3 linked regions of the Caenorhabditis elegans genome follow. The protein of the gene in region 1 interacts with the protein of each later gene in a pairwise test. Each region holds a gene or a part of one and is shown in the gene's direction. Other genes may lie near its edges.

Region 1 (5,026 bases):
TATCTATTTTTACAACAATCCATACCTTTTTATCAGATTTTGCTAAAGTTTTGCCAACTTTCGCCAACCTTCGTTAGACATTTGTCAACTTTCAAAAAGCAATTGCAATAGTTCCAAACTGCTGCTCAATTTTTGACCAACTTTTTTGAATTGTTTCTATACTTTCAATATTTTTTAAAAACAACTTTCGCGAACTGTCGCTAGACTTTCGGCAAGAAACAACTTCTTCTGAATCTACGACAATTTTCTGCAACTGTTATCAGATCTTCGACATTTTGAGCAACGTTTGCCAACTTCTGTTAATTTTTTCTAGACTTTCAGCAATCCCCGCAAGGTTTTTACGAACTCCGACCAACCTTCGCCAAAATTTCATCAATTTTCACCAGTGTTTTTCAAGAAGTTGCGTTTTTCTCAAACTTGTGGTAGATCTTTGGCAGACTTTTGTTCAATTTCAGTCTATTTTAACTTTCGCTATACTATCACCAATTTTCATCAACTTTGTGCAACTTTCGTCAACCAATTTCCCTCTAATTTTCATTCCCAATTCCGCTTAAAGCTTCAACTAAAAGCAAAATAAAAAACCGAATATCCCCCAATTTTCCAATTTTCCTGCACCGGAAAAAACATAGAGCTTCTTCCCCTTCTTCTTCTACTCCATCTCCACCCACACATACTACCGGTTCTCCTAGATTTTCAGTCTAAACCATTTCAATTGTGTCTTACGGTAGTTTATCATGAGATTTAGATGGAATTGAAGAAGAGAGAAATGACACGAAAGAGTGTGTAAACTTTTTATTACATTTTGGAAGACTAACCATGTCGTAGTACACACTCAGGCTTTTTGGCTTTTTGTGTCTAGATTCCTCTGCATGATCTACAGAGATTTTTTTGGCAGATTGCCAAAATTTACTTAAATTTCTGACAAAAAAATTAAAATATTTTTTTAAAAAGATTTTTGTTTTAAAGTACTAAAACGTAACCTTCTGCAATTTCAGAAAGTTATAATCTAGATTATTAAAAAATCTCACAATTTAAAGTTTCCAGAAAATTTTTAAATCTGAAAATGATTTTGAAAAACAATTCGGCATTCGACAAAATTAATGTTTTGATTTAAATTTTTTTGAAATTCTCTTTTTTAAAAGTACCAGTTTTCAATATTTTGTTATCAGAAATATTTCAGAAAAATTTTGATTTAAAAAACATTAACTGAAAATTCAAAAAATATTTTTTTGTGTTGATTTTAGAAATTTTAAGATTTTTTAAAATTGGGTTTTGCAAATATTAATCTTTTGAAAATGTTTTAAACAAAAATTAACAATTTTTTAATATGAATATTTTAAAATTTCCCTTTAATTACACAATTTTTTCTACATTTCTCCAAATTAAAATAGTTAAAAGAATAATTTTCAAAAATAATTCAACATTTGAAACAAAAAACGGATATATGTATATATATATATATATTCTTATGTCTTATTTCCTTTTTTCCATTTCTAGATTATCCCAGCTTCTGACTCCCCTTAGCCTTTTTTTTCTAAAAATCTCAAATTTTTCCGTTTCAGACCCCTTCTAAATTTAAATCCACTCAAACAGATGGCCTTCCAGCCGGCGTTTAACGCCCGTCTGATAAACGAGGTTCGTAAGTACCCGTGCCTATATAATCATTCACGACGTGGCAGCGGGGACACAATGGAACGTCAACGACTTTGGGAATCAATCGCCAAAAATATTGACCCGAATTGTGCGGCAGAGTTTGCGAAGAAACGATGGTTGCAGCTGAGGGATCGATATCGGAAAGAATTAAAGATTGCAATTAAAAATGGATTTGTGACACCTGTTAGATGGTGTTATTTTAATCAATTATCGTGGTTGGACCCGTTTTTGAAGGATAATATGTAAGAATTGAATTTCATAATTATTTTTCAACTCGTTTTTTTCTGGCCATCACAAAGCTAATTTTTTAATATTTTTTCTAATATTTTTTTGTTGAAAAACCGCGAAATTTTTGGTTTGTAGGCATATCAAAACAAAAAACTGAAATTTAAAAAATAAGTTCACCTAATTTGAAATATATCTAAAGAGTCTAAATTAACACTTCAAAAATTCAGAAAAAAAAATTTGAAAAATCTCATTAAAAAATCAAAAGTTGTAGATAAAATCAAATTCAAAAAAAAACTTCAAAAATACTAAAACATTTAATTAAAATTCCAGAATTCTTTTTTTTCTTAAATTAAAAATTATAAAAATTAAAAAAAAAACAATTTATCGACAAAAAACTGATCGATTCGAAATTTAATATTTTGAAAAAAAATTAAAATTTTCTACAAAAAATTAATTCAAGATATATCAAAAAGAATCTGAAAAGTAAAAAATAATAATTTAGAACTCCGCGATTATAAGTTAAAATTCTCATCTTCAAAGTCTATTTTTTGCAGTGGTCAAGCAGCAGATGAAGGCAAAAAAACTGGTAAATCTGACTCTTTTGATGAGCCATCAGGCACACCGTTCAGCTGGTTCGGTTTTCCAAATTTAAATTCAATAAAAGACGAGATGGAAGATGATGATAGTGATCCAGCACTCGAATCTTCGGTTTTAGACCGACTACTTGCACAAACCGCCCAACGATTGGACAGTATATCCCCTGAAATTGAAAATGATGAATCTGGAACTCAAAGTCTCGATGGAAATCTAGATGGAGTTGATGGGGATGGAGATGAGGAGGAAGATCTTAAAATAAAAGATGAAGATGAAGTAGAGGAAGATGGCCCAGAAAAGGTGAAAAGTCAATCCGAAGCTATGGCGATGCTCAAGGAGGCTATAAGTGCTCAGAGCCAACAGCAGACTCAGCAGGCTCAACAGGTCCAGCAGGTCCAACAGACCCCACAGAAACCATCAGTGGAGTCCCTCATAGCAGCGAATCAGGCTAGATTTGCACACCATCTTGCTGCACAGCTCACTGGGATGAGTTCAATGCTCAATGGAGCCAGGAAATCCGAGGAGGCAGCGATCCCGCCGCTCCGACCTTCAACACCACCGCCAACCGCGTCCACTACGAGCCACTTCCATCCTTATAAAGAGGCGGCGAGGAATAGGCATAGGCAGCAGACTGCGGATAATGTTATGAGATATCATTTGCAACAGGTGAGCGGGTTTGGAACATTTGGTAAAAAAAATTTTTTTCGGAAGGATCGTGATTTTCCTGGATTTTTTGGAGATTTTTGATTTTTTTAAAATAATTTCTCTGAAACTTTCTTAAATTAAAAAAAAATTCTAGATTTTTTGTAAAAAATATTAGATGCGATTGAAAATAGTTTGCTGAATTCTTGGAAACTTCGGATTTAGTTCTGTTTTTTTTAATGTTACCTTTTTTCGGAAAATTTAGTGATTTTCAAGAAAAAATGTTAAAGTTAAAAAATTTTTTAATGAACTTTTCGGAATGATTTTTTGAAGGTTGAAGTGTATAATTTTCAGAATTTTTTTTTGGTTTTCTGAATTACATTTAATTACTTTCTAGATTATTAAAATTTAATTTTTATTAAAAAAATATATTCGGAAACATTTTAAGTGTTTCTAGTTAAAAAAAATTTTTCGAATTTAAATATTTATTTCAAGTTTTAAGAGATTTTTAAATCGAAGTTTCTGGATTTTCTTACCAAAATTAGGATTTTTTCTCAGCAAATTTCAAAAATTTATAACGTGTTCCTACATTAGAAATTTTAAGAAAGAATTTCTAGAATAATATAACTTTTTTCCAGGTCGGTCGGGTTGCTCTTGAATGGCTCAATGATGAGGATTTATTGTACAGCCGGATAATTGGGTTGAAGCTTAAGAAAATGGACCCGAAAAAACGGAAAAAGGTGAGAGATTGTTTTCAGATATATTCAACAAGTTCAGACTCCAACTTTTTTCAGGTCCGTCACCAAATAATGTCACTACTGGACGAAACCGATGACACCCACCATATTGTAGACAATGATGACTCTTGTAGCAGTCCATCAGCACATAGTCCAACCGGAGAGCACGATGAAGATTGCGCAGTTGAGCCAACGGCAAATGAAATTCCAACGGCTTGAAAATTAGTCTTTTGTTTGTAGTATATGGGTCCCCCCCCCCACGAAAAAATGATTTGCGCCTTCAAGCTAAAATGCAAAAATATGCCTGATCGGTTTAAAAGGCGCATAATTTATTTTCGTGTCGAGACCTAAATTCTGGTAGGCTACTGTAACATTGAAAAAACACTTCCTTTATTTTTCAAAATATCTATTTTGTGTTTTCTTATTGGTGCTCTCCTCATTTTATTAAATGTAGAAAACGAAAAATGTTCAAAAACTAGTTTTTAGTGTATTCTCACTCCCCGTCGGTCTAGTCAGTGCGCAATTCTTTCACTTTTCTTTTGTTCCCTCCATAATTTCAGCATTTTTTTTATTTTTTGAAATTAGTCTCTACAAACACCATCATCTTGCCTGTATATTTTTGTACCACGATTTTTTTATAATAAACGTGTATTTTTTGGTTTTGGACAGAGCGCGTGCTCCCTCCGACTCGCGGATTCTGAATTGTTCTGTGTATTTTGGAGATTTTCCTGAAATTGTTAATTTTTGGAGAAGAAGGAATTTTTATTTGCTAGACCTTTCTGGAAACAGCTAGATAACTCTAGTTTTTTAAAGGAGTTTTTAAAAAACTTCCGAAAATTTTTTTTTTTTTCAGAAGTTCTTGCCCAAATATTTCAGACATTTTTCAGAAGTTTTATCATATCAAATATATTTTGTAATTTTTCCCACATTTTTTCCAAAAATTTCCTTCACGTGAACTTCCACAATTTCAACCGATAACATCTTCCATGCAAAATGAATTATTTCCAACAATTTGTTTCAACTTTCCAACCGGTCAATTAAAGTTGCACAATGTATCAATTATTATTCTACAACGTCATCTGCGCGATCATGTTTTTCATGACTATAACCTCAAATTGTCTGAAAGGGAAACCGAAAGAGGGCAGGTTAGGATTAATGTTTCTAACTAAACG
Region 2 (7,572 bases), on another chromosome or scaffold:
CATATATGCAAATTGATGTTCGGCAAATTGACATTGTGCAATTTGCCGAACATGAAAATTTCCGGCAAACTGGCAAACCGGCAGTTTCCCGGAAAACAATTTTCCGAACGACAATTGCCAGTTTTCCGGTATATATATTTATATATTCCCTATTACGATCAATATAGAATCCTGTTTAGCCAAAATCTTTTTTGATTTTTCCCAAGGAACAACATTTTAAAAAAATACGTACCTTTTTATTGCCACGAAATTTAATTGGAAAAAATCAATTTTGAAATAAAATGTATTTTTGTATTTATATAAAAAGCAATTCTATTTATTTTTAAAACGTGTTGGATTAGTTTTTTAAAATAAAAAAAACAACACCGAAATTTAGTCATTTTTCGTTCAATCGTTAGTGAGAAGCGGTGAGTTTTGGCGATTTTGAGCATTTTCCGTTGAAAATATGAGTAATTTCCTATTAAACTGGTTATTTCGATCGCGCTAGTGAAATTTCTTGAAATTGTGTAGCAAAATGGGCTTACATGCTATTTTAAGATGAGCAATTGAAGCATTTTATTTTGATTCAGTCAGAATTTTGAAATACTTACGAAAATAGCAATTATATCAATTCCAAATCAAAAAATATGGTACTTATGGGTTTCGTTCCCCCCAAAATGATTTCCATATTTTCTAATTGATACGTGAACTTTTTTTTCATTCCCAGGCTTAGGGAAATGATTTTCTAAGCCTTGTAAAAATGAAAACAGTATTAAAATAAACAATAACGTGTGGATTAAAATTAAAAAGGTAGTGTTGAATAATTAAAAATCATTTTGGGGGGAACGAAACCCATAAGTACCAAAAATATAGTTTCTTCTAGAAATATATTTTTTATTGCCGCTAAATTTAGAAAAATTCAATTTCGAATGAATATGTATTTATTTATTTTGAAAAAAACGTACATTAAAACGTGTCGGATTAGATTTTACTTCCCTTTTTTTAATTTTAAAATTCAAAAAATTCATTTCTATATTTAAAAATTTGGCAGTTTTGGCGTTTCCCTTTTATTACAGTGAGTTAGCCAACTTTTTCGAGCTAATAACATTACATTAAGCTTTAGAAAAAACTTTAGAAGTTTTGAGAAATACTACTTTTAAAACTTCGATTTTTTCAATTTTTGGCTAAATTCTATTCTAGTTTGAATATCCTCCAAAATGAGAGCTCCCCTACGACTATTTTGGATTTTTTGAAGCGAATCCTAAAAAAATGGGCTGAAAATGCCAAAAATCGTCTAATTTCCAGTAAAGTTTTTTGGCGAAATCCATATTTAACAGCTCTTTAATAGTCCTACAAATTCGACAAATTGCCGATTCGTCGGAAATTGGCCGGTTTACCGATTTGCCAGAAAAAGTCGTTTGCCGCCCACCCCTGTTCCCACTTTGGCTAGGAATTCCTAAAAGTTTATCGAATTTTGAAATGTTACTCCATTTCACCTCATATTTGCCTTAAATATCACCCATTTTTATACGTTTCCTCGTATTTTTCAAACCCAACGCCCAAATGAAATATTTTATTATTTTTTATTTTCAGGTGAATAGCCTCATTCTCTCCGTTTTCCCTCTCAAAAAACCACATCATATCCTCATCATCTAATCTCTGGCTCTTCTCATTTATTGGACAGAGCTCATATATACACACACACACACAAGAATCAAATCAATCAGTAGTGTGGTGTGATGAATAAGCAGTTACTATCGTGCTCGCTGAAAAGCGGAAAACAAGTGACGATGGTCGTCGCGTCAGTCGCCACGGATGGTGTTGATCAGCAGGTTGGTTTTGAGTGAGGAAATTTTAATTTTCTCGGAGAAATTTGGATGAAAAGAAGTTGGATATCAGAGGTGGGCGGGTATTTTTTTCGGATATTTTCTAATAATGAATTTATCAATAAGTATTGATGTAGTTATTCTGGAAAAAATGTATCCGAACAAAAGAGTAACTATTAAGCAACATTTTAATATGATAAAACCTAAAAAAATTCTACAAGTTTTCTGTATAAACGATATGCAAGTCCATTATCCGATATCCGTAATATCCGTAATATCCGATTGCTTAATAGTTACTCTTTTGTTCGGATACATTTCTTCCAGAATAACTACATCAATACTTATTGATAAATTCATTATTAGAAAATATCCGAAAAAATATCCGCCCACCTCTGGTGGAAATGCATGAAAATGAGGATTTTCACAAAAAAAAACTCTTTGGAAGTGATACAAATATATTTTTCGATATTTAGTACAACACAATAAATGAGTTATTACGTGTTTATCCACAGATAAGAAAAATCGCCATATCTGCCGCGCAAATGAACCCGCGGGAAGAGACAAAACTACTGTAGTTTTTAACCAATTTGTGTAGATTTACGAGCTATTGCGTCATCGTTGAATTTAATTTTGAGCCGCAATTTTTAATTTTCAGGCGTGTTTCACTCTTTTTTATATTGAAATTTATCTATTTATTGAATAAATCTTAAAAGAAAACACAAAAAAATTAGAAAAACGCCTGCAAATTAAATTCAACGATGACGCAATAGCTCGTAAATCTACACAAATTGGTTAAAAACTACAGTAGTTTTATCTCTTCCCGCGGGTTCATTTGCGCGGCAGATATGGCGATTTTTCTCATCTGTGGATAAACACGTAATAAATAGGTTGACAAAATTGTTCTCCTTTTCCTCGTGGAGTACACGATTTTACTCAAGCACTTAAAATATCAATTTCTTCAAAAAAAAAAAAAGGAAATTTGCTGGAAAACTAGCTGATAAAATGTGAAAAAATTATTATTAAAAAATCTCCAAACGAAAAAAAACACTGTAATTCAAATTTTAATTAAAAAAAAATGTATTGTAGGTTGAAATCTCGTACTACGATCAGAAAGTGATTGGAAATGGATCATTCGGAGTGGTATTCCTTGCCAAACTCTCTACAACAAATGAAATGGTTGCAATCAAGAAAGTTCTTCAGGACAAACGATTCAAGAATCGTGAACTACAGATTATGCGAAAATTGAATCATCCAAATATCGTGAAGCTCAAATACTTTTTCTATTCGAGCGGCGAGAAGAAGGATGAACTCTACTTGAATTTGATTCTCGAATATGTTCCTGAAACTGTCTACAGGTTATTTTTATTAGGATTTTTAAAAATTTCTGGAAAATTTCAGTTTTTAGCGGAATTTTTTTGTTCAAAAATAAAGAGAATTTCTTATTTAAAAATTGAAAAAAAAAATTTTTTTGGAAATTTTTAAATAAAAATTGCGAATTTCTTTTTTAAAGATATTTTTAAAAATTTTGAAAAACAATAGTAGAAATTCAATAAAAAGCTGAATTTTTATGTTTTTTTTTGTGAAAAACTGTTTAAAAATGATGTTAATGTAAATTTTTAAAGGAAATAATCAAAAAATGCCTGATTTTTTTAACCTTTTTTGTTAATTTCTGACAAAAATTCATGGAAATTTGATTTTCCGTCGATTTTGTGAAATTTTGGTTCGAAAATTGAATTTTTTCGCTAAATTTTGATTTTTTAAGATAAAAATTGATTTTTCCCGAATTCCAGCGCTACAGGGCGATTTCAAGCAGATTTCTTTGCAACATTTTTGACTAAAATGCACTATTTCACGAATTTCCTCCTGAAATTTATGTAAAAAGCTATTTAAAAGTTCAAAAATGCGTTCCAAACGTATAGAAAGGCTACAAACTACATGGCTGATAGCTTGGAATTTAGAAAATACGATTTTAAAACAAAAAAACTTGAAATTTTGCAAAATTCTTTACAAAATTGAAAATATTCTATTTTTTTATAATTTTGAATTTTCAAGTTGAAAACCTAGAAATTTTTTTTTGACAATTTTTGACTAAAATTTATGGAAAAAATTATGTAAAAATTGAAAAAATTTAGAAAAATCGATTTTTAAACAAAAAAACTTGATGTTTTGCGAAATTTATTTGAAATTTTTAATTTTTGCAGAGTTGCCCGGCACTATTCGAAGCAGCGACAACAAATTCCAATGATTTATGTCAAATTGTACATGTATCAGCTTCTCCGTTCATTGGCCTACATTCATAGCATTGGAATCTGTCACCGTGACATTAAGCCTCAGAATTTGCTCATTGACCCGGAAAGCGGAGTGCTTAAGCTCTGTGATTTTGGATCTGCCAAATATTTGGTTCGCAATGAGCCAAACGTCTCGTACATTTGCTCGCGATATTATCGTGCTCCGGAGCTCATTTTCGGCGCTACAAACTACACGAACTCGATTGACGTTTGGTCGGCTGGAACTGTAATGGCAGAGCTTCTTCTCGGCCAACCAATTTTCCCTGGTGACTCTGGAGTTGATCAACTCGTTGAAATTATTAAAGTTCTTGGAACACCGACTCGTGAACAAATTCAAAGTATGAATCCGAACTACAAGGAATTCAAATTTCCACAGATAAAGGCACATCCATGGAATAAGGTATTCCGTGTACACACGCCTGCTGAAGCGATTGATCTCATTTCGAAGATTATCGAGTATACGCCGACGTCTCGGCCAACACCTCAAGCGGTGAGTTTTTTGGGGGTTTTTGTAGAAAAAAGGCCGAAAAATGAATTAAAAATGTTTTCCCAACACTAAATTGCTGAAAATCGACTCTTTTTTCAACTAAAAACCTTTTAAATTGAAAAAAATTGATTTTTTGTCATTGAAAACTTGAGAAAATTGCCCAAAAGTTTAAAAAATACTGCGAAATTCAGGAATTTTAATCATTTTGGCTATTTTACAATTTTATGAGAAAAATCTCTAAAAATTAATGGAAGTTTGAATTTTTCGACTTTTTATCGAGATAATTAAAATGGCGAAAATTGCACAAAAAATGTCAAAAACTGATTTCCGGTAGTTTTTAACGTTTAAAAACACTTGAAAATGGAAAAACAAAACTTATATTAAAATTGTGTCAAAAAATTATTGAAATTGTCTAAAAATGGACTTTTTTTTTGTTTTTCGGTTTTGAAAGCGAATGTTCTGTAATTTTATTCTCAAAAAATGCGAATTTTTGCTCACAAAAGTTATTATGGAACACAAAATCCTTAAAAAAACATATTCGATGCGCAAAATATATCGTAGCGAAAACTACAGTAACCTTTTAAAGGACTACTGTAGCGCTGCGCTTGTGTCGATTTACGGGCTCGATTTTTATTCTGCATTTATTAATCAAAAAATGAGACAATAATACGAAGAAACGAAGGAAAATATAGAATAGATTCATATCGAAAATCAATCCCGTAAATCGCCACACGGAGCTATAGTACCCATTTAAAGGGTTACTGTAGTTTTCGCAATGAGATATTTTGCGCGTCAATTATGATGTGTAATACGCATTCTTCTCAGAATTTTCGGTTCCCGTAATATGAATGAAAAAAAAAGAGAAAGTTGAGTGTGATTTTTGAGACATTAGACAGTTGACTGAAAATTTATTTAAAAAATTTCGGCCATTCGGTCAGCTTATTTTTCCTCCATTTTGAAAATTGCAGATTTTGCAGATTTTCGATCGCTCAAAAAAAAAGCAGCCAGTTTGAAACGAAATTCAATGATTTTATCTGTATTTTTCCAAAAAAAAGTATCTTCATTGTTCACAAATTCGATCGCCCCCTCACAAAACCGCTTAGAAAGTCCACCCCGTTCGTTGGTTGCTTTTGAAAATCGCCTTAATATCTATCGTTGAAATCTTTGTTTCCTCATTGTAATTCTCCCATAGATCAAGCCATTTCCCGGTTTTTTTTCTTAGATTTCTCAAATTGGCACGAATATGGAAGATATTTATGGAAGCAGATGGGAGCATTAGATTTTTACACAAAAAAAATTGCAGAATTTTGGCTTTTTTTTCCAATTTTTGGAAAAAGATAACTTGTGAAACCGTGGTTTTTAATTTTGAAAAAAAAGCTATAAATTCAAAGTTAGTGAAATCTGAAATAGACATAAAAATTGAAAATCCCACTGAAATTTCAACTTGAATTTAACAAAATTTCAGCTAAAACTTGGAAAGAAATGTTTCTTGGAATTTTTATAGAACTCGCTGACAAGCAGTGAGCAGTAAAAAACTCGGCTCACAATTTATCCGTACTTTTATTTTTTGAAACTAGTAACTAAATGTCAACTGCAAGAATATTAGAGGCCATACTACAAATGAGATTTCCAGAAAATTATGATGTTCTCGTAATTTTAAAGATGGAGACATTTACGTGGTATGATGGTTGAAAATTAGAAAATTGGCTTGAAAACACTTTTAAATTTAGAAAAACCACAAAAAACGAGCAAAATCGAGAAAAATGAACAATTCAACTTTCGAAAACACGATTTTCCCTATTGTGACTAACTAGTATATTTTAAATTTCCATTTTGAATTTCCTCCAAAACGAGAACTTCCCGACCAATCAGCGATTCGTCCTGCCCACTTTTCAACCAATCAGATGAAGTGGGCGGAGTTCGATGTCGTTGATTGATCGATTGGGGAGTTTGCATTTTGGAGGGAATTGTCTGCGTTTTGATCTACAAAAAATGCGGGAATTTTTTCCCAGAAAAATTGTAACGTCTGCACGCTTTTAACCATGTGAAATCAGTTGAGATGTTTGCGTCTCATCTCCCGCATTTTTCGTAGATCAAATCAAAATGGGACTTTCTGACTCCACGTGGATTCAAACATGGGGAATTTGGAACTCACAATGGACAAAAATATCGATTTTGCTCGTTTTTCTGAATTTGAGACTGTATTTTGAAATTTTTGAGAGACAAAATCGCCCCCAATTCACGCTACTTTAACAATTCAACCAATATATATATGTTTTTCGTCTTTTTCAGGCCTGCCAGCACGCATTCTTTGATGAGCTCCGAAACCCGGATGCACGTCTTCCATCTGGTCGACCTCTTCCAACACTTGAGATGGACGGTCCAATGGGAACTGGTGAAGTTTCAACGACAAGCGGTGATGTGGCTGGCCCATCGGCTTAAACTTCTTTTTTTTATTTTAATATTGGTTCTGAATTTTCTCTCGAATGTTTCTTTTTTTTTCATTTTCCGTGGGATTTTTCTTTTCCATTGATTTTATACATCCATCCTCTCCTCTCTCTCTGTCTCTCTCTCTCTCCATACCTATCATCATTAAGAAAAAAATTATTATTTTTTCTTTTGAGCCCTCCCCCCCCCACCCCCCTCCATCGCCCGTATCGTCTCCATAGCAACTGTGTTGTAGAAGCATTTCCCCCCAACTCGATTGTCTGCTGCTCTTCTTTTATTTTATTTTATTGTCCCCTCAAGCTTTTTTGTCTCGAAAAACTTGAATTTTTACTCTTTTTTTTTTACCCCACCTGGCTCCCCCCTGGATTTTTCTGTGAAAATTTGGCTAAAAATTAGGTTTTCAAGGTTCCTGAAATTTTGGCTGAAAATTGGGTTTTAGGCCAAAAATTTTGGGTTTTTTAAACCTTTGGCCTAATTTTTGAGGCCCAATTTTTTAGGACTTCATCTAGGCCCAAAGGCCTGAAAAAATCCGCGACTTCTGTAC
Region 3 (4,186 bases), on another chromosome or scaffold:
GGAATGTGATTTTTAAATTTTTTGAACAAGTGTTTTAGTGTTTTTAAAAACATTTTAAAAGCAGGAAACCTCAATTTTTGTGTTCCTGGGAAAAAAAAATTCAGAACAACTAATCAGTGATTGTAAACCTTATCACCTGTATATCCATTGACGCCAACTAACAATTGTGGAGGTTATAAATCCGCCACGATGTTTATCGACCACCTGATTTAGAGGTACCCCCCGTAAAAACACCGACTCGGAGAGTTTTGGGAAGAGTAAAGTTTTACAGCTTTTTTTTTGGTGTTTTGGAGATCAGTCTTATTTTCTAGGAAAATGGGGCTAATGGGGTCGGAGAAATTTGGGTTCAGATAACAATTTGGGAAACGATTATCTCGAAAAGCTTCGAGTTTACCGAATAGTTGCCAACTGACAAAATATAGCTCTGGAAATTATGAACAATCAGTTAGTTGACAAATTTTTGATAGCTGCATCCACAAAAAAGTTAGACCCCGGAAAAAAATTGAGTTTTTTTTTGAAAGTTGACATCTTTTTGATAGCTTTTGGGAAGACGAATATATCAAAATTATCCTGACTTATAGACTTAAAAGGTTTGCTCAAAAATTGCTCAGAAATTTTAATGGATCTGCAAAATTTGGAGAGTTTTTCCTAATATTTTTGAGCAATGTTTTAGAACATTCGTTATGAAATTCGAATTTTTAATATCACTTTATGTCTAAAAATGCAAAATAATTTTGATCCGTTAACCAATGTTTTCTTTTATCCATTTTCCTTCAGCTACCAATTTTTACACCTCCAGTCAATACTGTCGGTGTTCTATCAAAAGAGCCCACTACAACTAACCGGCTCAAAAATTTTACAACGTATGCTCTTTTGGAGGTAACCGACAAAAAAGGGGTATACTTGGAAATGGTATATTATCTGGAAATAGAAGGAGGGTTTGAAGATGGAATAATGGGTAATTGTGGAAGGTATGAAAATGTAAAATGGTAAAATCTTTATTTTGAAACATTAAATAAAGTTATTTTTTTCAAATTTCGGTTTTTATATGGTACAAAAAAATTCAGTTTACATTAATTTTTACTGTCATTCTTTCTTGAGAAAAGTGATCTCAAAGTAAAAATATACAAAATCCATACTGTCGATAAGCATGGTATACATAGCATAATTCTTTAATTAATAAGGAAGTTGTATCATCTTTAAATTTTGAACATTTTTTGAAGTTTACATAAAACCAACATTTTCGGACCGTCTTCTCTATTTCTATGCCACATCAGAATTTGATCTCCCAATTTTGTTTTGAAAGTATACCCAACTCTTTTGATCTACCAGTCAGCCGCCAAGTCTTCCCAGAATCGATAGCCGAGAGGGCCACGCGCACAACCTGCCCGCCCTTGCAGAGGGGTGTGGTTTGGCAATGAGGTGAGATGGGGTGAAGATGTGCACAATTTCTCACTTCTTTGTCTTAAATCACCATTTTTTTGTGATGACATCTCTATCTTATCGTGTTTCTTATTTTTCTATTTTTTTGTTTTCTTATTTTTGAACGGCGGGGATATCTCAGACGTTATCTCAAAACTGGCAAGAGATACCAAATAGTTGTCAACTAACAAAATATTGCAAATTTTATCATTGTTGCTTTGTTAGTTAACAACTTTTTGCTAGATACCACCGTTTTTAAGTTAGAATAGTTTTCCCGCTCCTCCTTCTCACTGGTACCACACTCTAAGCAAGTGTAGCTGCCAAACCGGTGAGAATATAACATTATATCTTATACCATTTTCCAACTTTTTTTTTGCTGTTCGTTTTCATAATATATTTTAACGTTTTCAGACAAAAAATGTCCAAAGTCAAAGTATCAATCGAAGGATCCCAAGAAACTCTCTGGAAGATATTCCACGCAGAAGTCAACGAGATGATTGTCACGAAGAACGGCCGAAAGTTGTTCCCAAAGTTGGAATATATAGTCGAAGGGCTTGATGAAAACAAGCTGTATGCAATAATGCTCCAATTACAACCAGTTGGAGAAAGTCGATTCAAGTTCAGCGGTGGAAAGTGGCAGGAAACGGGCAAAGCTGAGAAGCAGGTCGACGCGAAGAAGATGTGGCATGCTGATGGAGTTCGGAAGGGAAGGTGAGTGTGACATAGGAATTGGAAGATTAGAAGCTATGAAGATTTGTAAACTGACATGATTATCAAAATAGTGAGAACCATTTTGTCAATTGGCAACTTTTTTTAGCTCCGCCCTGGTATTACAACTTCAAAGCGCCATATCTCAGCGGGCTTGGAAGTTTTAAAAAAGATGTTAACTGGAAAATTGTTAACTGATTTATCATCTACAATTTGCCAGTTGACAACTTTTTTCTAGCTTGAGCCATTGAAGAGTTAGAGCTGCCGACACTGGCATTCAAATGCCTTTGGAATATTTTGAGGGTTACATCTCATCTAACATTAAAGTTTTCAAAGTTTGTCGTTTGTCAACTGACAACATAATTCAGATGAAAATAATTCTAAATTTGCTAAATTTATATCTTCAAAGTAACCCCAATTAATTTCAGTGACTGGATGTGGAGTTCGATTTGCTTTGATCGTGTGAAAATCTCCAACTATTCAGAGTCCAACAACGCTTCAATGGTAGGATTTCAACTTTAAAATTACTTGGCAATTTCCAATTTAAAATTGAAATTTCAGATTTACCTCAACAGCATGCACAAGTACATTCCAGTGCTGACAATCTACGAGTCTCCATCGGAGAGCCCTTTCTGCGTCCCACAATCCTCAAACCAAATCGTCGCCACCGCCAAATTCCCTCATACCGAGTTTATTGCAGTAACGGCTTACCAGGTTAGTATTGAGAGTAAGAGTATTAGCGCATGGATCTTATCTCGGAAGAATCAATATTTTGTGAACAATGGGAAATCTGGGAAGGAAGGGGGAAGTCTTGTCAACCATCATACTTATCAAGAAGTCGTTAACTAATAATTTGTAACCCTAGTTGTAAAGATTAATTAGTTAGTTGACAAGTTTTTAATAGAGTTAAAAGAAGGAGAGTTACACTTGCTCAAAATTTGGCTCTATTTATAAATTTGAAACTGCGCTACTTTAAGCACTCCTACCTCGCCAATAAAAAGAGCTATATAAAAGTTGTCAACTACAAAAATATTGCTCGCTTTGTGATCCATAATATGGTGTTTAACAATTTCTTAATAGATTCTTTGTTTTCAAAGATAGAGAGAGTTGAATAATAAACCTAATTTTTCCTCATTTCAGAACCAAAAAATCACCGACTTGAAAATCAAGCACAACAGTTTTGCCAAAGGTTTCCGTGACGGGAACTTGAGTCGCAAGAGAAGATCACCATCATATTCCGACGGCAGCAACTCACAGTCCCCATCGCCAAAATCCAGATCACCACCGGAGGTCGCACCTCTTCAGTCGATGCCTCCAATCAACCCATTTCTTTTTTATTTTCCCCATATGTTATCTGAAAATCTTCCAGTCCAATTTCCATTCGCTTTTCCATTTCTCTCGCCTCTCCCGTCGACTCCTTCCAGCTCGAGCAGTGAGCTGAGCATTGTGAAGGAGGAGGATCAGGAGGTAGAAGAAGATATTGATATTGTTGGTTGATAATTTTTATGCAAACTGGTCGCTTTTGATATCATGTAATCAAAATTTTTAATATATAAATATATAAAGCTTTATATTTTCAAAGAAACGACTTTTTGAAGACCCGCCGATTAAATTAGAAGTTTGTCGACTGAAAAAGGCAGCCTAGACTGCTAGCCAACAATTTTTATACCTACAATACTTAAAAATGTATTGTTTAAAGGAACACGTAGTTTTCTGAGTGGGTCTTGCCACGATCACAGTCATAGTGGTCGCTGCAGAACCCACATTTTTAGATTTGCTTATTTGATGTTGAAATGGAAAATTTTCAAGACATTACGAGAACACACAATTCTGAGGATGCGTATTGCGCAACATATTTGACGCGCAAAATATCTCGTAGCGAAAACTACAGTAATTCTTTAGAAGACTACTGTAGTCAAGGGTTCGACTTTTTGAATTGATGTTCAATTGATGTTCAATATTTTCCTCCTTTTCTTCTAGTCTGATTCATTTCAAAAATCGAGCTCGTAAATCGACACAAGCGCTACAGTAGTCTTTTGAAGAATTACTGTAGTTT

The links. Proteins that work in one complex are often made in the same cells at the same time.
Region 2: the proteins of madf-5 (region 1) and gsk-3 interact in a two-hybrid assay, tested with the Caenorhabditis elegans proteins (one large-scale study listed by BioGRID).
Region 3: the proteins of madf-5 (region 1) and tbx-9 interact in a two-hybrid assay, tested with the Caenorhabditis elegans proteins (one large-scale study listed by BioGRID).

What each region holds. Positions count from the first base shown.
Region 1 is NC_003280.10:14,572,053-14,577,078, forward strand, and holds madf-5 (Alcohol dehydrogenase transcription factor myb/sant-like protein), read left to right. Parts: upstream 1-1,562; 5' UTR 1,563-1,593; coding exon 1,594-1,895; intron 1,896-2,164; exon of another isoform or gene 2,165-2,357; intron 2,358-2,435; coding exon 2,436-3,141; intron 3,142-3,755; coding exon 3,756-3,857; intron 3,858-3,911; coding exon 3,912-4,073; 3' UTR 4,074-4,509; downstream 4,510-5,026. Other genes in the region: C01G12.13 (uncharacterized protein), read left to right, coding at 4,905-4,995.
Region 2 is NC_003279.8:12,817,644-12,825,215, forward strand, and holds the start of gsk-3 (Glycogen synthase kinase-3), read left to right. Parts: upstream 1-1,572; 5' UTR 1,573-1,718; coding exon 1,719-1,811; intron 1,812-2,891; coding exon 2,892-3,160; intron 3,161-4,006; coding exon 4,007-4,583; intron 4,584-6,475; exon of another isoform or gene 6,476-6,529; intron 6,530-6,872; coding exon 6,873-7,022; 3' UTR 7,023-7,572.
Region 3 is NC_003281.10:10,339,506-10,343,691, reverse strand, and holds tbx-9 (T-box transcription factor tbx-9), read left to right. Parts: upstream 1-1,833; 5' UTR 1,834-1,840; coding exon 1,841-2,133; intron 2,134-2,558; coding exon 2,559-2,634; intron 2,635-2,691; coding exon 2,692-2,844; intron 2,845-3,270; coding exon 3,271-3,627; 3' UTR 3,628-3,686; downstream 3,687-4,186. UniProt on the Caenorhabditis elegans protein: Transcription factor. Involved in the control of early morphogenesis of the intestine, hypodermis and body-wall muscle. Involved in regulating expression of vab-7. Appears to have partially redundant function to tbx-8.